2 linked regions of the Diceros bicornis minor genome follow. The protein of the gene in region 1 interacts with the protein of each later gene in a pairwise test. Links are inferred from orthologs where the notes say so. Each region holds a gene or a part of one and is shown on either strand. Other genes may lie near its edges.

The links. The genes of interacting proteins can lie anywhere in the genome.
Region 2: the proteins of TLE5 (region 1) and NEK6 interact in binary tests that used the Homo sapiens proteins (3 or more experiments, as listed by UniProt). The two-hybrid records come from large-scale screens. The link is inferred for Diceros bicornis minor from reciprocal best matches to the Homo sapiens genes TLE5 and NEK6.

What each region holds. Positions count from the first base shown.
Region 1 is NW_026691553.1:2,384,857-2,395,522, forward strand, and holds the start of TLE5 (TLE family member 5), read right to left. Parts: upstream 4,549-10,666; 5' UTR 4,478-4,548; coding exon 4,451-4,477; intron 3,350-4,450; coding exon 3,252-3,349; intron 1,092-3,251; coding exon 1,028-1,091; intron 1-1,027. UniProt on the Homo sapiens protein: Transcriptional corepressor. Acts as a dominant repressor towards other family members. Inhibits NF-kappa-B-regulated gene expression. May be required for the initiation and maintenance of the differentiated state.
Region 2 is NC_080767.1:32,841,305-32,850,727, forward strand, and holds the start of NEK6 (serine/threonine-protein kinase Nek6), read left to right. Parts: upstream 1-5,845; 5' UTR 5,846-5,912; intron 5,913-6,348; exon of another isoform or gene 6,349-6,430; intron 6,431-9,423. UniProt on the Homo sapiens protein: Protein kinase which plays an important role in mitotic cell cycle progression. Required for chromosome segregation at metaphase-anaphase transition, robust mitotic spindle formation and cytokinesis.

The DNA.
Region 1 (10,666 bases):
GCTTCAGGGCCCCAGCCGGGCCCTCTGGCTTCTGAAATAATTACCACCCCCCCCAGCAACACACACACATTCCAAGGCTCCTAATCTCTTATCTTTATGTGTCTTGTCTGCGGGTGGCCCCAGACTCCAGGGAAGTTTGCCTTCCTGGATATAAATAATCGAGGATAAACAAAGCTTGCTGGCTTGGGCTCCCAGGCAGGCAGCCCCCCTCCCGACGCCCTAGATCTGACCCTGCCCCTCCCCTGCTCTAAACGGTGCCATGGCTCCCCATCACCGGGGAGGGGGGGAGCCAAGTTCGTTCCAGGCCCTTGCATGGTTTCCCTTTCTCTGCCCAGAAAACTCCTACTGGTTCATCAAGACCCCAGCTGCAGTGCCCCACTCTCCATGCAGCCTTCCTCAGGTAGCCTTTTCCCCTCAGGGCCCCCCAATCCCGGGGCCCTCTCTCTGCCCCAGCCCCATCCTTCTGGGGCCGCAAGGGGCAGAGTCTGGCTCTTCCTTCCCCATGGCCTGGGAAAGTGGGGCTCTGGCTGGACCAAAGCAGGGGTTTTTGAGGCCAAAATCGCCACCTGGTGGGTATAAAACCGAGCAAGTGATTCCGACAGGGTCTCAAATGTCAGGCCAGAGAAGGCAGTGTCACCCCCTGCCCCCCACGAACCCCAAAGGGCGTCACCCCCAGGAGTCCGCCTCCCCGGGCGAGGAGGGGTTAAGCGGCCGGACGCCCGGGGTGGGGGGGATCCGGCTGCTCCCCCACGTCAGTTCCTGGCTCTGGCTCCCACAGCCGCCTCCTCGGCTGCCAAGGCCAGCCGGGGGACCTGGCAGGCTCGGGCTGCAACCCGGTGGCTTGGCACCTCCGCCACCTCCCGGGCCGCCAGCCAGGCCAGCGAGGCGGACGCAGCCGGGCTCCAGGGGCCGCGGGATGGAGAGCAGACCCTGACTCCTCCCGCTTCCCGGAGGAGGAGGCCGGGGTGCTGGCAGGGAGGAGGGTCCGGGGTCCCCCACGCCCGTCCCCCCACCCGGGGCCGCTTACCATCACGTAATGACGCTGCATCTCCGACTTCTCACTGGCCAGTTTGTCACATTCGAGCTTCAGGCTGAAGAGGGAGAGGGGGGAGGGGGCGGGCGCTGGGCTGAGGTCCCCCCGAGGCGCAGGGGAACCCCGAACTTCGATGGGGGACACACACGCCCTCCTCTGTGAGGATGGGGCGGGCATAGAGACCCCCAGGTTCCCCAGGTATGACGGGAATTACGAAACCAGCCTCGCAGGTCGGGTGGTGGAGAACGACGACGACGATAATAAAAATAACAGAAGTCAGAGCGAAAACCCCGACTCTTGGTCAGAGGGGGATTCAGAGAACCTTTACCCATCCCGAATCCCCCTGAGGTCGGTCCTGTTAGCATCACGCTCATTTAGCAGATAACGCAGTGGATGCCCAGAGAGGGTGAGGAACTGTCTCCAGGTCACACAGCCGGGAAGCTGGCTTCAGAGGCCACACTCTCAGCCACTGGGGAAAAGTCTCCAGCAAGAGAGGAACAGGCCGAGACCGCAGAGGGGCTGAGAGGCCGGGGGCCGGCTGGAGGGCTCTGGGGTGGACTCACCGAGGAATCCCCAAGGTGGTCCAGGCCCCCCCCTGCCGTGGGCTTTGATTTCATGAGGAGGTGCAAGTTCCACTGCTGGGTAATGGATGGTGACCCCGGCCTCCCCCAGTAAGGACGAGCTGCGGGCATTTCTCGAAGCCCCCCAAGGGGGAGCCGACAGCACAGACTCAAGGCTGCCGGACTGGGTTCAACGCCGCCGTGTTCCTTCGATGCTGTGTGACTCTGGGCCAACGTCTCTACCCCTCTGGGCCTCAATCTTTGCGTCTGTTAAGTACCCACCTCCCGGGGTGGGCTGGCAAGGATGACACGGATTAAGACCAGAAACGCTCTTAGGACGACGCCTGGCATACACTAAGCATCTAATGAGTGCTTGGTGATCGTATGGTCACCCCAGGAGCCTGGCGCTTCACTCCACCAGACTGACCGGGACTTGGACAGCAGCTGGGGTCGCCGTGGCCTCCACGAGTTTATTTTCTCTAATTTGCTTTAAAAATGCGCATTTGTTAACCCCACTTAAAAAAAAAGAAAATCGCAATCTCATCCCAGACTCTGGATTCCTGGCAGATCTGGTGTGTGCCCCCAACGTGCCAGGGCCCCTCACTGGATAGAGGGAAGTGCGGGTCCAGTGCACGGAGACCCCAAAGCACAGAGAGGGGCTCTGGCCCCCCCGAGGTCACACAGCACTGTGGCAGCAATATGACGCTCGGTGTCTGCGACTGGACCACCCCACGGTCACTGTGCGGGGGGCAGGGCCGGGGTCGGGGAGCGGAGGACCCCTTGGAGGGGCTCGGAAAGGCCAACCAGACCCCTGCACATCGCAGACCAGAACAAATTCCTGGGGCCTGCCTTCCAACTGCCCGTGCCTCAGTTTCCCCACCTTTAAAATGGGCACGATTATGGGACAACAAGAAAGATTTAAACGAGAGGATGTCTGTTCAGTATTTAGCACATGAGGAGTCTAAGAAGCACCTCCAAGAGGCTGGATGTTTGTAAAAAAACCGAAAAACTCACTATTCTCCCTTTTTTCTTCGAGGAAACCCAGCATCCTTCAAAGAACACTTGTGTGTGGGTAAACTGAGGTCCAGAGAGGCCTTGGACGCCCCCCCAGGCCTTCTTCAACCCAGAGAGATCGGGTGCAACTCTCAGTTCCGCCACTTGCTTGCTGTGCGTCCCCGGGAAATCCCTAACCTCTCTGGGCTTCAGTTTCTCAGGCGGAAAATGGAGATAACAATAGCTCCTTCCCCTCAGATGGGGCAGAGGGCAGGCCCTGCAGACAGGTCAGCAGATTCCATTCTGGAGGGAGAAGCACCTTCGAGAATCTGTTGGCTGCCGGGACGCTTTCTGCAAAACTAGCAGAGAGACGTATAGCAGGCTACAGAATTCTTTTTTGGGGGGGTGGGCGGGTGGAGGGACCCCCGACAGTTATTGGGAGGTCTGTTATCCAGTAGGGATGGGGGTGGGAGGGGGGCTCTGAAGCCACGAGTCTCGGGCAAATGATTTAACTTTCTGCGCCTCAATTTTCCCATCTGTGAAATGGGACTGTTGGGAAGAGGAAGTGAGTTTACTCTTGGTCCAGTGCTCAGGATGTATACAGCAGGGGCCACGACCTCGCCCCAGGCCGCGGTGCTGCGCCTGCGCGGGGGCGCCCTCCTCACCTGTGGTACTGGGCCTGCAGCAGCTGGAACTCGTCCTTGATGCGGTCGCAGGAGTCCGAGGTGGTGAATTTGAGTTGCTGGGGTAGGTGCGACGAGCCCTGCGGGGAGGGGGCGGCCGGGTCAGGGTCAGGGCCGGGCGGGGGGCGGGGGGGCTCCCTCCCGGGCGGCCCTGAGGCCCGGCAGGCCCAGCTGCAGCGCCCCCGCCCCCCGCGCCCCACTTCCCGGGCCGGTGTTTACAGCCCCCGGCGCGCCCCCGCCCTCGCTTCCTGCCCTGCCTCTCCCGAGGGAAGCCAGGGGGTGGGCGCGCCCCGGAGCCGCCTTGTCCCCGCCACCCCCGGGCTGGGGGGTGCGCTGAAGGCCCGCCCTCGGGGACCCAGGGTGCGCCCTCTACCGCCCCTCCAAAGCGCAGGGAGGGGGGCGCACATTGAGCGCCCCGACTGCCTCTGGGAGGGCGGTGGGGACGCGTCCCGGGGAGCCCCCTCCCCAAGCTGGCAGGGAGCGAGGCCTCCCTGCAAAGTCCCGTTGGGGGAGGGGCCCCTCTCAGCGCCCCAAATCTCCTGGGGGGCCCCCCGATTCCCGGCACCCCTCCTCCGGGCCCTTCCGGGAGGGGTGCGTCTCGGATCTCCCCTCACTCCCGGGCACCGAGAGCAGCCCCTGCGTTAGGGGCGCCCCAGGCCCGACGCCAAGGCCGCTCAGGCCCTGCCGGGCTCCGTGGGGGGGCGCAGGGCCCAGGGGCTGCGGGGCGGGGGCGCAGGGCCGGGAGCTGGAGGGGACCCGGCCAGGGAGCTGGGGGGGGGGACTCCGGGCCCGGAAGCTGGGAGGGGGACTGGGAGCTGCGTGGTGGGGGAGCCCTGGGAGCTGGGGGGGGAGCAGCGCTGGGCCTGGAGCTGGAAGGGACAGGGCCCAGGAGTTGGGGGGAGGCGCCGGGCCCGGATCTAGGGGCGCACAGGGCCCGGACCTGGGGGGGAAATGGCCGGGCTGGAAACTGGGGGTGCCAGGCCCGGATCTAGGGGGGCACAAGGCCCGGACCTGGGGGGGAAATGGCCGGGCTGGGAACTGGGGGTGCCGGACGCGGGACCTGGGGGGGGCGCCGGGCCCGGATCTGGGGGGGGGCGCACGGCCTGGAGCTGGAGGGGGGTGCCGGGCCCCGACCTGGGGGGGGGCGCGGGCCCCGAGCGGCCCCGGCGGGCCCCGCTTACCGAATGCCTGCTTTGTGGAAACATCATGTCAGTCGCGGCGGGGGGCGCGGGCTGCGCCCCGGCTGTGCGCCCCGGCTCGGGCGGCTCGGGGCGCCGGGCGGCCGCGCCTTTGTCCCGGCGCCGATCGGCAGCTCCCGGGGCCCCGCCGCCGCCTCCCGCGCCCGGCCTCGCCCGCTTCCTGCGCCCCCTCCCCGCGCGCCCGGCCCCGGCGCGCCCCGGGCCCCGCTTCCTGCGCGCCCGGCGCCCTCCCCGCCGCTCCTATTGTCTAATGGCGGCGCCGCCGGCGGGGCCGCGGCCTCGGCTGCGCGGAGGCTCCCGCTCCACCTGCCGCCGCCGCCGCCCGGGCCCCGTGCGCGCCGCCGAGGGGGGCGCGCGCCCGGGGAGGCCCGCCGAGCCCCTCCCCCGGGCCGCCCCTCGCCCGGCGCGGTGACCTTGGGCACGGCGCGCGCCCGCCCCCCCCGCCCGGCGGCCCCGGTGGCCCTGGCGGCCGCGGGGGCCTCGGTTTCCCCATCTGTCAAGGAAAGGGGCCCGCCGCCCCCTCGCCACGGCCGGCTGTCATGGCGCGACCTGGACGCGTGCCAGGGACACGCTCTGCAGCCTCGGCTCGCCGGCTGCTCTCTCGAGCCTCGGTTTCCTCCTCGGAAGCAAGGCGGCGGCGGTACCGCCGGCCTCCTGGGGGCCGTGCCTTCCCCACGCGTTCATTGAGCGCCTACTGTGTGCCAGGCCCTGCTCCAGGGCGTGGGGGCCAGGGCGGGGGGTGGAGACAACGTCTTTACTCTGGGGGAGACGACATGGGGCACGCTAGAGACGAACACACACGAAGACACCAGCCAAGTCCCTGGCGGGTCAGATGGTGGTAACAGCTATGGAGAAAATAAGGCAGAGAGCAGGGCCAGGTAGGTGCGATTTCAAACAGAGGGAGGCAGAGAGGCCCTCCTTGAAGCAGAGAGGACCGGAAGCTGAGAGAGGGAGCTGGTGGAGGTCTGCCGGCGTGGAGGCTCGTTCAGGGAGGCAGAAGCAGCAAGTGCAAAGGCCCTGAGGCAGCACTGTGCCTGGCACCGGGGGACCATAGGAGGAAACCAGGGCAGGGAGGCAGGGCCAGCAGCTTGACGCATTCGCACAGGGGCCCGGCTCCCAGAAGGGCCTGCGCTTGGGTTAATGATCTACTGTTGTGGTCTGGAAATTCCTAATAATTTTTGAAGGAGGGGCCTGATAGTTTCGTTTTGCATTGGGCCCTGCAAATTCTGTAGCTGGTGACAGGACCAGGGCAGATGGTGCAGGGCCTGGTGGGCCGAGGGGAGGACTCGGGCTTTTCCCCTGAGAGAGGTGGGGCACTGGAGGGCTGTGGGCAGAGGAGGGGCGGCTCTGACTCAGATTTTGATGGGATCTGCTCGCGGCCACGTGGAGGACAGACCTCAGAGAAGCTGTTGAAATAATGCCCATCAACCCCTGGCACGTGCTAACCGCAGTCTGAATTCTCCTCGTCATCGTCTGTGCAGCTTGCCTCCCTGGATGTGTCTAACTTCTCTGGGCCCTTGCTTCTCCCATCTGTAAAATGGTTAGGACCCCGGTCCCCTTTCCTGGGCACATGAGGGGCCGGGACTAGGGTGACATAAATAAGCAAAATTTTAAGTCTCCCCCCAGAGCAAAAAGCCTTCAAGATAAATAATACTTGAATGCAGTATTTTAAAAAATAAAAAGGAATGCCCCCAAAAATTCATAATGCGCAAAATATCCACATATTAAATAAGACAGCATCTGAGGGGGCCGCAGACGAGTCTCGAAAATGCAGGGTCTCCCTAGTCCTGAGGCTGGAAGGAAAAAGGAACAAGTTTGGGAAAGTTCTTCGGTATTCCCATCGGGTTCTGGAATACGCAGACCCCACAAATCGTCCTAGAGTCCCTGATGGGGCGGGCTACAGAATTTTAGGGCCCAGGGCTGAAATGAAATGGCAGGACTTGTTGTTCAAAAGTGGTTAGAAATTTCGAGATGGTGACAACAGAGCATTAAAGCAGGCGCCGGGGCCTGGAGTGCAGGACCCCGTGGGGCAACACCAGACTCACGTCGGTGAAACCAGCCCTGTCCCCATCCCCACCCTCCCCCCGGACCATGGGGACCAGACACCTTTCTCGTGGGAGGCCGTCTGCGCCTGGCCCTCATCCAGGCAGGCACCCCCCAGTATTGGCCCTTGGGGACCAGCACTCCCACTTAGCACAGACTGGTTGGGGGGCAGAGCTGGGCCTTTCAGCCCAGGATTTTGACCCAAACCATGAGCAATAATAAACCAACCCACCTGTGTATGTTTTCACCATGCACCAGGCCCTGCCTTTCCCATGTTAACTTAGGTGCAGCCATTGTGCCCATTGGAAAGAAGGGAAAATTAAGGCACTCAGAGGTTTAGTGATTTGGCCAAAATCACACAGCCGGGAGGTGGCAGAGCCGGGATGTAAACCCAGGTCCTCGGGCCCTTGACCGCTGAGCAAGACTGCCCCTCCGGGTGGGGCACAAAGGCAGGGCATGGGGGGATACTGGCTGCGGGGGGCCGGGAGCCGGGACGGTGCGGGCCCCTGCATTCAGCGCTGAGGAGTGGGGACTTGACCTGGAGGGTACTAGGAAGCCGTGGGAGGCTATAGAGCAGGTTTCTGAGACTGCACTCTTGGCGTTCTGGCCTGGATTATTCTCTGTGGGGGGCAGTTCTGGGCACTGTAGGGGGTTGAGCAGCATCCCCAGCCCCACCCACTCAATGCTCAGAAGCACCCCCAGTCTTGACAGCCACGGATGTCCCCAGACATGGCCAGTGTCCCCTGGGGGACACAGTCGCCCTCAGCTGAGAAGCCCTGGCTTAGAGCAGCAGAGAGAGGCCTCTAGGGCCAGATGGTGGAAGGTTCTCGCTGGTCATGGAATAGACGAGGCCAGGTGGGAGGCCAGCAGACCAGGGGCACGCCCAAAGTGGGGTTTAGGAAGGGGCGGGCTGGGGCAGGCCCAGTGCGTGGAGGAGCTTTTGGGGGCAGAAAGAACGGAACACGGCCGGGGAGGGAAAGGCACGGCCAGAGCCCCAACCCAGGAGGGCACAGTCTTGATGGTGTAATTAATTTGGGGGGAATTGGGGCTTTTGAGCTCTTCCTGTCTGGGTGGCTGCCCCCCACACCCCTCGGCCCCCACCCGTCCCCGACTCCATGTCCTGCTCTGTCCTCTCCCCGGGGCCTCTGGGCCACCGCTGGGGCCAGGTCGGGGCGGGGACGTGTCTCCTGGATCCCACCATCGGGGACCGGCCTCGCGGGCTGCTTAGACATGCGCGGGGCCGCGGCCGCTGGGCAGAGCCAGGCACCGCCTGGTGCCTGATGGATGGGGCCGCCCGGCCATTCATCGGGGCCGGAGCAAACAGGTGGCCGCCCGGGGCCTCCCCCGTGGGGCTGCTGGAGCGGGAGCCTCCGCCGTCCTGCTCGGCCTGGCACGACCCCGCCGGGTGGCTGGAGGCCCCGGGACTTTCCTGCTCTGCACCTGAGTCCCCCCTTCCCCACATGGAGCCAGTATTCATTCATTCTCTCAGTAAATGTTTATGCACCTACTGTGTGCCAAGGTGCTTCTTAGTGGAGGTTTACAGCAGTGACCAAGGAGGACGAAATTCCTTCCCCTGCAGAGCTGACAGGCTTAAAACTTGACCTACGTCCCCTCCCTCCTCTGCGCGCAGCCCTTCAGGGCTCCCACCTCCCTCGGGGGAGAAGCCCACGTCCTCCCTGCTGCCCACCAGACCCTGCACGACCTGTCCCGTCCCCTCCCTGCCCTCTCTCCTCCCTCTCTCCCCCTCCTCCCTCTGCTCCAGCCACACGGGCTCCTCCCTGTTCCTCCAACACGCCAGGCCCGGTCCTGCCCCAGGGCCTTTGCACGGGCTGTGCCCTCTGCCTGGAACGCTCATCCTCAAATCCCAGCTTGGCTGATTCCTTCGTCTCCTCCCAGTCTTGGCTTAAATGTCACCTTCTCAGTGTGGCCTCATTGTGACTTCCCTGGTTCATTCAGGCAGGGCTGGGACCAGGCTGAGTGTACTTTCAAGTGAGACACTTTCTTCAGGCTTAACATTTAAGGGGACCCCAAAAATCTCGGTCAACACAGTAAGCACTATTTTAAGACTTTTTTTTTTGGTGAGGAAAATTGGCCCAGACCTCACATCTGAATGCAATCTATTTTTTTTTATTGTGGTAAAATACACATAAAGTTTACCATTAGAGACATTTAATACATTCACCATGTTGTGCAGCCATCACCACTATCTGGTTCCAGAACATCCCATCACCTCAAAAAGAAGCCCCGTCTCCATTAGCAGTCATTCCCATCCTCCTGCCCCAGCCCCTGGCAAACATGAACCCACGTTCTGTCTGCGGATCTGCCTGTTCTGGACATTTCACATCAATGGACTCACACACCGTGTGTCCTTCTGTGTCTGGTTCTCTCCCTGAGCGTCGTGTGTTCAGGGTCCGTCCACGGTGTGGCTGTGTCAGGGCCTCACTCCTCTTCACGGCTGTGTAATACTCCAGTGTGTGGGTGGACACGCTGTGTGGATCCATCATCAAATGGACACTTGGGTTGTTTCCATCTTCTGACAACCGTGAGCAGTGTCGCCATGAACACGCGTATGCAAGTGTTGATGTGGACGTATGTTTTCATTTCTTTTGAGTGTGTACCCAGGAGTGGAATTGCCATAGATCATGTAGTAATTCTATTTTAGCTCTCTGAGGAACCACCATCCTGTCCTCCACAGCGGCTGCACCATCTCACATTCCCAGCAGCCGTGCACAAGGCTTCCAATTTCTCCACGTCCTCGCCAACACTTATTATTGTCCATTTAAAACAAAACTCACGATAGCCATCCTAGTGGATGCCACGTAGCATCTCATTGTGGTTTTGATTTGCATCAGGCAATCTTTGAACAGATCACAACAAATGAAACAATTTCCCTAATGAACAAAATTTCAAACTTTAAGATAAAAAAAACAGGTCCAACACTTCCCTTGCGTGACCGCCTCCCGTCCTTCCCGCGCCCCCGGCCCGGGGCCGCTGCCCCCCTGCCCAGGACTCACCACCATCGGACAGCCGACGTCTCTTACGTATTTATTTTGTTGGTTTTTTCCTCCTAGAATGCCAGCTCCAGGAGGCGTGGATTTTGTGTGTCTTGGTCACAGCTGTGTCCCCTGCATCTAGAACATGCCTGGCTTGCTGTCAGAGCTGGATAAATGGAGAACGAGTGCATGAATGAAGGAACGGGGTGTAAGGATCTGTTGGGTTGTTGGGAGACTTAAATGAGACGGGACGGGAAAGGATTTAGCACAGATGGCTGGCACTTGACATCCCGGGTTCAAGGTTGATGGCCCAATAGAAGCCTCTGATTGGCCAGATTTAGATCACATGACTACTCTGATTCAATATTATGGTCTCAACAGATGCTCTGATTGGCCAGATTTAGATCACGTGACTTTCCAAATTCGTTGAATGAGGAAATGAGTAATTATTCGATTATATTACTTTTTCCTTCTCCCGTCTTCCTTTCCTTAATAAATGCCTCTTCTTTACCAGGCCATTTGCTATGGAAAAAGAGTGGAGGATAAACCGACACTGACTGAGCATGTATTTATGCCCAGGTTGGCCCCCAATTTTCATCCGAATCAGTATAATGCAAGGCACAGGAACACGGAAAGTCGGTTGCCTCAGGGCCTTTGCACATGCTGTTCCCTCTCTCTGGAATGCTTTTTCCTACATCTCCCCGTGGACTTAATGCTTCTTCTCAGCTTAAATGGCAGTTCCTCGGAGAAGCCTTTGCTGACCAGTCCGATGGAAAAAAAAAACAACACCCAATCATTCTTTAGGATATCACCTTGTTTTATTATTTAAAATAGCGTTTATCACTCTGAAATGAACGTGTTTAATTGCAGTCTTCTTTATTGTCTGTCTGCCCCGTCCAATTAAGGGATTCACAAGAGCCTGTCCTATATCCTGCTGTGTCCCAGCACACGGCCTGCGTCTGGCAAAGGATTGATAATCAGTACAAAAATCAGGTATTTGTGAAATGCGTGAGTGAGGTAGGAATAATGGTCCCCATTTTCCAGGTGAGGAAACTGAGGCCCAGAGAGGAGCAATGATGGCTTCTATTATTTGTGCATTTTTGGAATCTCTGTCTTCTTTTCCAGCCCCAGGGCTCACTGACTCCATGAACATTTATTGAGC
Region 2 (9,423 bases), on another chromosome or scaffold:
GGCAGAGGCGGGCTTTGAAGCCCGGTCTGATTGGCTCGAGGCTGAGTTCCTGCCAAGGCCGCCTGGCCCAGCCCAGTCCTGGGGGGCTGATGGCAGAGCAAGGGTTGTGGTTTTTGGCAACTGGCTTCAGGCAGAAAGCCTGGGGTCAAAATGGCCCCCTATCCCAGGGGTCCGCCTGAGCAGCTCAGGTCAGAGCCCAGCGCCTGGGGCTTGCAGCAGAGCAGGCCCACGTGCACCTCTGGCTTCAGGGTTTCCGGAGCCCCCAGACTCACTGCCCCTCCTCCAGGGTGCCCCTCGACCCTTACACTCTGCCTCAAGGGAATCACCCCAAAACAGCCAGGCCACCCTGGACCAGGTCCCTCAGAACAACATTGAATGAGGGAAAATGGATTTCCTTTCCCGGTGATGCGTTAGTCCCACTCTGTTGCCACCCCTGGTCGGGAGGGCTGGTTTGAGGCTGGGGGGAGGGAGTGGCGGTGCCCAGACCCCTGCAAGCCCCTTCTCAAAGAAACCTAACCAAATCTCCTCTGATTCCCTGCCTGGCCTCCTCCGCCCCACTCCCATCCCTGTTTGCCAGTCTCTGTCTGGGTCTTCCTGCCCTCACCCCCAAGACAGGCCTGGCATGTCCTGCAGCCCGGAAAAGTTACACCCACTCCCAGCAACTCAGGGGCAGGGCTGAGAGACCAGGGGCACACCCTCCTTTGGGGGGCATCTGAGATTGACGGGGGGATGATGTCATCAGCCTTAAATCCAGGGGCCCCTTGCCTCCGTCTGCTCTGAGAGCAGCCAGCCCCGGTGGGCACGCAGGGGAGGCCTCAGGCTCAGAGGAGACTCACTCTAGCCACATACCCCAGGAGTTTCAGGAAGGGCACTTCGACCTCCTCACTTGCCCCCAAAAGCCAAGGGGATACCTGGACGCCTGGGGGAGAAATATGGCCAGCGTGGGACCCTGCTGGTTCCAAGCACAGTGAGTTGGAACAGAGATTCTGGACCCGTCAGACGCCCTCTTAAATTGTGTTTTAGACAAATTGGGTAAGCTCTCCCTGCATCAATTTTCTCACCTGCAAACTTTCTCATCGGGAACATGGATCCCCATATCCAGAGCTGATGCGCAGAGGACACGATTAGATTACTTAGTCCTCAACTGCGATGATTGCTTATTTATTCATCCGGCCAGTTATTGTTTCATTTGACATGAATAACAGGGCAGCCATATAATTTATTGTCCAATCCAGGACACTTGTGAGAGTGAAAGGGGACGCTGTTATGGATGGTGCTGGGACAGCAGGCATGACCCAGGACCATCCTGGGCAGGCAGGGACCTCTGGTCACACTGTGAATCTTGTGTCCTCCCTATGCCAGGCTCAGATACAGGTGAACCCATCACACCCCGACCCCAGGGGAGGAGAGAAGAAGAGCCACAGCCAGAGAGTCTCATTCAGCTCACTATCAGGAGGCGACACGCATCCAGAAAGCAGAGCAGGGTCCACGTCCCAGTGTTTCGTGAGCTTACAAAACTCCTTCAGAGGCCAAAATGACATTTCCACAGTTCCTGTCTCCGTGACTGATGCCTCTCGGTAGCCACAAATGCCAACTCTTTTATGTAGGAGCACCATGATTTTGAGGGTCTCTTGTGGGGGCTGACATAGCACCAACTCCTTTGTTATTTTAGTATCAACGGTCTCTGAGCCTCAGTTTCCACATCTGCAAAATGGGCAATGATCACTACCTCAAAGTGTGGTTGAGAAGGTCAGCTGAGGGAACGTCCGTGAAAGGCACAGTTCTTGGTACTCACTGCGGGTTGGTAGGATTTGAATCTGTTAGTTGAAACGGCACGTGTCAGAGGCTGGTGGAGGGAATGAGGGAGAGGCAGGGATGTGGGGACATTACCGCGTGCATTTCTGCCTCTTGCTGGCTGCATGGCCTTGAACTGGTCCCGTCTGTAAAGTGAGAGTCGGAATAACAATCCCCGAAGGCCCTCCCTGAGACGGTTAACCTGTGTTGTTTCCACATTCTGGGGCCTCCTGGGTGTTGGGTCTACCGTGTCAAGCCTGTAGCGGACTCGGAGTTCGTGACCGTAGCTGTGAAAGGTGGGAGGAGAGAACTGTTCAGCAGGCTGTATCACAGGATCAGCAAAGCATGAAAGGCTTACCAGGAAGAGCCAGGACACCTGCACTAACGTACCCTGCCTTAGAGCCTCGTCTTAGCCTCTGCAGATCTTCCAGCCCCGGAGCACAGCATTTAACTCTTCACCAAGTATTCTCAGGAATACAATTTCATGTGATCACTGCAATCCTGTGACAGAGGCTGACTGCCCCCATTTTACAGACGAGCAAACTGAGGCCCAGAATGAGACGGATGGCCCGAACTTGCAACTTGAGTTTTCAAGTCTCAAAAGAACCCATGCCTGCACTCTTTCAACAACCCTACAGATACCTGGAGCTAAGAATTAAAATATATATATATCAGCCCCAAAGCCAAACCTCATAAATGAACTTGGGGGCCATTGGAGAAAATGCTCTTCTACATCCCTCCAATATTTTCTATTTTTCTTGTCCCCCAACCAGACTGTAAGTCCTGAGGGCAGGGGCTGTGGCTGAAAATTCCATTATCTCCCAAGTTGCTTAGAATGGTACACAGAGCAGGTACTTGCTAAACGTGGATTAAATACAAATATTCTGAAATACTATGCAGTCATAAAAAAGGAAATAGCTGTCCATGGAGTGATAGGAAGTGATCTCCAAGAAGTGAAGAAAACACAAGGTGTTCAGCAGCGTGGATCAGATACTATCACTTGGGCTAAAAATAGGAAAAGAAAAAAAAATACACATACACCCACATATATACACACACACTCACACAAAACACTCTGTCTGGGAACGGTGTGTTTGGCAACACTGGTTCCCTCCAGAGAAAAGAAGGAGATAGCTGGGGGCCAGTGGGGAAGGGACTGGCAGAGCTGGGGTGGGAGGGAGTCCCAAGTCCTGATTCCTTCCCCAGCCAGCTGGGTTTGCTGCTCCCAAAAAGCCCCATGAACTCTTGTGAAAGTTCTTGGTCAGCTATGCACACATCAGGATGCGGAGAAGGTCCAGCAGACAAGAGGCCCCCATTTTGTATTTGATATAATATAAAATCTGAATCCCCCAACACGATGACATTTGCAAACAACCAGGGCGACCCTAAAGTGAATTATCCAAATCGAGACACTTTTGGAGTGAAAGTGGTGCTATTAATAATCATGCCCCGGCGACAAGCACAAACCAGACTTCCTGGGAAAACCAAGACTAGCCCCCCACAAAAATTATTGTCAGGAGGCTGGCGAGAAGACATTTGGACAAGGGCCTTCAAAGGAACATGGTCTGATTCTAATACTTCACCCCCCCTTCCCCCCCACTACCCCTCCCCCAAATACTGACAAGAATAGAGGCTTTGGGTAAACCGGGTTCAGATCCTGGCTGTGTTCAAACCACCTGACTTCTCTGAACCTCAGCTTCTTCATCTGTAAGACAGAAATTCTGACCCATCTGGAGGGACACTGCGAGAATGAAATGCCTCACGCAGAGCCGGGCTCGGAGAAGATGCCCAGGAAGACTGGCTGCCCTTCCCCTAACGCAGAGAAATAATGAAACGACACAGGCTTCATCCAGAAACTCTGGGGGGTGCACAGAGAGCGCCTTTCTCCCAGACCAGAGTCACAGACGCCACTGCGGGAGGAAGTGTCAGCCCCGTGCGCAGGGAGACGTTGATTCTAATTCTGGGAGTCATTTTGCGAAGCACCTCTTCGAGGTGACTCATTTGGGGACTCGCTGAAAAATCCTTTGAGTTAAAAACAAAAGTTGAGTGGGGCTCAGGTTGCGTCGTACCTTTTCCCTCCACCCCCTGCCCTGGCCAGGAGAGTGGGGGGAGTGCAGGGAGTCTGGAGGGTCTCTGGGCAGAATTTAACCTATTTTTCCCCCAGCATGTCACCAGGGGCTGGGACCAGGCCAAAGGGTAGGAAGTAGGGGGCGAGGAGGAGGAAGGCCAGGAAAACGGGGTGGAGATGACTTCTCCCATCCCCTCTCCCACAGTCCTGCTGCTGCACCCTCCTGTTTCTAGAAACCTACAGCAAAAGCCTGGGCCACCCCCTCCCATTCCTGAATTATAGTCCAAGAGGGAAGGAAGGGGCTGGAAGGACTTCTTCATTCCCCTAGCACTCAGCAGCAGCCATCAGCTGGCCTGCAGCCAGACCCATCTCTGTTGATTGTGGCTGGCTGTGTGACCTGGGGCACATTGCTTGACCGCTCTGGGCCTCCGTTTCCTAACTGGAAAATGAGGACACTAGGAGTACCTGTTACAGGGGCTCTGTGAGGCTGGAAAGGGGCTTTGCAAATGGTAGAGTTTTACACAGATACTTGCCAGGGCCCCAGTGGTCTGGTGCTGCTCCCCGAGTTTCCTTCAAAGGGGAATTTCAGGTTCTTGCTCTGTAGCGTACCAGGACGGGTCTCGGAGCATGGGGCCTGTCCTAGTCACTTCCCCTCATACAGGGCTCTGCTCAAATGTCACCTCATCAGAGAGGCCTTCTCCCAGCACCGCTATGAAAAAGCGCTCCTGGGCTCTCCTCCCCCTTCTCTGCTTTATTTTCTCCACCAGACTTATTATCCTCATCATGCCAGGTACTTTTCTTCCTCCCAGCCCCCACTCCCAGATGGAAGCCCTAAGAGAGTCAGGGTTATATTTTGTTCGCGAGCATATCCCAGTGCCTAGAATAGTACCCGTCCCATAGAAGGCGTTTGTGGATACGTGTCCGGTGAATGAATGAATGAACTAATGTTTGCTGCACGAGTATAGCCAATATCACTGATCCGCTAGTAACACTGCAACACACTGTCTCAGAACTTCTGTCTTTCGATTACTTTTTGCAATGTTTATTTCTCATATTTAACTCTTCAATCTTCATCTATCTGACATTTACTGCAAGGTATATCATGCGAGGTGAGGTTGTAAACAGATCCCCAATTAAACAGCTAACCAATGTGCAGAGTGATCCATTTCATCCCTGTTGGTTCGTGGAAGGGCTGGACTGGGCTGGCTCCTCTGGATCGGCTGCTGCCCGGTCTGCCCCTTCTTACACCAGCAGCCCAGAGCTATGCTGCTCATGAGGTGAGACTGCGTAGATTAGGCACACAGGCACTGGAAGTAGACAATCTGCGGTCCAGCTTCTAGCTCAACCACTTACCAGCTGGGTGACTTTGGGCAAGAGAATTTGCTTCTCTAAGCTTCAGTTCTAAGCCTCGTTTGCTGTAAAATGGGCACGAAAGTAGCATAATGACTCCTTCTGAGACTAGCGGCGGGACTGAACACCACAAGGCAGGCAGAGCGTGCAGCCGCGAGTCCCGCACACAGCGGGGGTTCAGTGGGTGACATTATTGTTATAGCTCACAGCCAGTGGAAACATGTTCACTCACCGGGCAAACGAGGCCCAGCGGGCATCCGCCTGCACCCAGCACAGCGCTATGATCAAGCTGGGCAGCTGGCAGGCAGGCAGTGTCAGTCTCTGGTTCCGGCAGTTTTGCATGTGGTGGAGAAGCAGCAAGTGTGGAAACAGGAACTGTCCGAGCCAGGAGCGTCCCCTTTTGGGGGGGCGGGGGGGGGCGGGTCCCCTTAGGAAGTGAGGCGGGGAACTGAGCTGCTGCCCTTGGGCCCCCATGGAGACTGTCTCCTTAGAGGGTGTGACAAGCATTCATTAGGGGAGTCTGACTTCTTCCAGAAACCTCTGCACATTGACGTGCTGGTTCTGGGATCCACAGGAAGCGGGGAGCGCCAGACGGGGAGACGTTGGCGCTGAGGGCGGGGAGCAGCACCTTCACCACATCGACATACTTTCGGAGCCTGCTTCGTGCCCACATTCAGCAGGCGTAAATAAGCGCTCGTTGGTTAGCCCATTTCAGTGCAACCGGGGCTGTGATGGGAGCAGTGTCAGGCGATGGGTACTCAACAGTGCGTGGGAGGGGTCCCCGGGGTTGGCTGAGTGCAGACTCTAACCCTAAGGGTCTAGAGCCCGAGAAGAGGGGGAGATACTGGGCCCGACTCGCGGTGTGAGCTTGGGCCTCAGTTTCCCCATCTCTGAAACGGGGAGGGGGCGCCTCGGCTGAGCGGACCACTCGCTGCCCAAAACGCTGGGGGCAGTGGAGGGATCCCGGCGCGGCGAGGGCGCCGCGGGGGCGCCCCCCGAGCCTGCGTGGCGGCAGCGCGCACGAGCGCAGGGGGCGGCGCGGGCCCGCGGCGGGGAGGGGCGGGAGCGCGCGCGCGAGCCCGCGCAGGCGGCGGCGGAACCGAGCGGACGAGCGTGCGGCCGCGGCGCCGCCGACTCGTGTGGGACCCGCCGCTGCCGCCGGCGCCCGCCGTCCGCGCGCCGCGCCTCCCGCCGGCAGCCGAGCCCGCCCGCGCGCCGGTGAGTGGCCTGGGGCCGGGCCGGCCGGATCGGGCCGGCGCAGGCCGGGGAAGGGGCGGGGGCCGGGCCGCGGGGCCGTCACCCACACCCGGGCCGAGCGGGGTGCGCGTGCCCGCGCGCGCGCCCGGGGCTCCGCGGGGGAGAGCGGGCGGCTGTGCACGCGTGAGGTCGGGGCGCGTGTGAGCGTGCGAGTCTGAGTGTGTCCGCGGCCGTGCGTCCAAGCGTGCGTGGGCGGCGTGTCCAGCTGTCCCCGGGGCTGTGTTCGCAGGAGTGTGTGCGTGTGCACATCGGCGTGTCAGGGTTGTGTTGTTTGGTGTGAACGAGTGCGGGGGAATGGGCATGGCTCCCCCTTATCCGTTTACTGAGTGTGTTCTCTGTGCCAAGGAGTGTGCCAGGGGCTTCTCGTGTATTCTCATTTTGTGACCCACTCTGTGTGGATTCAGGGAGTATGTGTGTGTGCATGCACGTGCATGAGTGTTCACAAGTGATTTGTGTGCGCGTTTGTGAGCCTGTGAGGACAAAAGTGTGTGTATGTGGATGTGAGCGTGTAATTTGTGTCCAGGAGTGTGTGTGTGTGTTTATTATGGAGGCTGAGGGCCCCCCTTTGTGCCTACCGGGCCTGCTACGTGATGTGCCCACAGCTGGCCCCCATGCAGGGGGCCCGTGGAGAGAAGCAGGCCTGGCGGGCACCCAGTGGGTGCCGGGCCTTGTTTGGTGAGTGAAGAGCCAGAGGTCAGACCCACAGATCCCTGCTGGGCCTGGCAGGGGGCGTGGCCCCAGAGCCAGGCCGGGGCAGGGCCACTGGCAGGACCATCTGTGGGACTCCAGGGCGCACAGGCTGGGCTGCGGCTGTGATGGGCCTGGCACTGGAGGACTTGTGTTCAGTTCTTCCTAAGTGCCCTCTGGGTCCCCTGGCTTTGTTCTTGCCCCTCTCTGGCCCTGGTTCCCTGGGGGGCTCACCCCCCGGGGAGACCAGGGGTCTGGAGTCGCTTGTCTGTGTATCTGGGGGTCTCCCTCTGCCTGCCTCCCTGAGTAGATACGTATGCATCTGATTTATTTGTATCCAGCCTGGGCTCCATGTGAAAGCCCCGAGACAATAACAAATTGATCACAGCAGGCTTGGGACACTGTCTTCCAAGGTCTGTCCTTGTAGGTTTGACTGACAGGTTTTTGGGGGCTTTATGAACGTTGAAAATCTCTGCAGTCGAAAGTCTTAATTGCTTTAAGGCAAACTTCAGAAAGTCTGGAGCTCCCTCGTTCCTCTGAATTGTCAAAATTCAGCTCTCCTTTCCGAGGGGAAAATGTCGTCTTAGGAGCTCAGTGTCTGCGCAGGCAAACCTGGGAGGCCCATTTAAAAACCGTAGCGTTAATGGAAGAAGAATTTCATTGAAAGGGATGCAGAGCTGGCTGGAGGCGCCTGTTCCCAACACGGCAGCTTACCGAGTGAACTTTGAACGTGGTCTTTTAGCAAACAAAACCTGGAAGGAAACAAAAAAGACCCACATTCTTTTTCTTTTTGTCCTAAAAAATGAAAAACAACACCTTCTGGATTTGCTGGAAATGCCGCCTCCCCTTCCCCCAGCAAGGCCAAGCCCTCCCTCTATCCCCCACCCCCAAATAAAATATGCCTGTGGGGAGCTGCGGATGAGTCACTCCCTGGCAGAGAGCCCCACGGGCAAACATTTGGGAAGGTTCTTGCCTAACTTCCCAGAAGAAAAGCCCAGGATTTAAAATGGTCCCTGTGGTTTGTCAGCCCCTGCGTCCCGTCTGCTTCGGAAATGACTAAAAAGTAGTTTCTGTCTTCACAAGACAGAGTCTCAGACTTAAGCAGCAGCCCAGGTTGGTCTGGATTTAGGGCCGTTCGGGTTTCAAGAAACGGAGCTCCTGGCTTTGCCAGGTGGCACTGCTGGTGGCTTTGAGCAAGGAACGAACAGGGAAAGGGAAAGAGAAGTCACATTTATGGAGCACCCACTGCGTGCGGAGAGAAGGGCTGCAGGATAGTCATCCTGCAGAGAATGGCTTTCGGTTTTATGTGCACAAGGAACTGAGGCTCAGAGGGGTCAAGCCTGTGTCCTGGGACACAGATTCCTGTCACCTGCCTGACTTCACGCCCATCCTCTTTCCATTCCCCCGGGAGCATGACATGTGCCTTCTGAAGGTGCACAGACTGTGTGCTGAGTGCTTTAACAGGCATCCATGCATTTAATTTTCACTGGGAGGTAGGGGATTCTGTCTCCATTTTACAGATGAGAAAACCGGGGCTCAGAGGGATGAAACAATGTGTGTAATTTTATGAAAGTATTGCTACAACCAGTGGCCACCATTTATTGAGGGTATACCATGTGCCACGAAGGGTACTGAAAGCTTTAAGTGCCGTGTCCCGCTCAATCCACTCACCCGCACTGTGCGATGGGAACAATCATGATGCCCATTTTACAGATGAGGAAACTGGGGCACAGAGAGATTAAATAATGTGAAGATTATGTGCTAATATGCCGTTGACCCTGGATTTGAAGCCAGGCTTGACTGAGCAGAACCCAGTCTTCCCACTGAACCTGGAAAGTAACAGTTGCTGTGTACGTGCGTCTGGCCCGGGGCTAAGGTCCAGGATTGTTATCCTGATCTTGCAGAGAGGAAGATGTAGGCTCAGGAAGGTTAAGTAACCTGGGCAGGGTCATAAACTGGCAAATAGCAGAGTCAGGATCCAAACCCCCATCTCTGATTCCAGAGTTGAGGTTCTTAACCTTGAACCAGGTCTGTCTGTCTTTGTCCTGCTTTTCTCCTCTCACGTGCTGAAAAAACAAGTGAATTAACACCCGCCAGGTTCCCTCGGGGCTGGGATCCTTGCTGGGCTCCGGCCTTCAGGGAGAGGCGCTGCCCTCCCTCCTTGTCCACTGTCGCCCCTCTGGTGCAGCTGACCAACGGCCAGGGCCAGAGCTGTCAGATAGAAAGGCCTCCAGTTCACATTTTTTTCTTTCCTCTTGAAGTGCCAA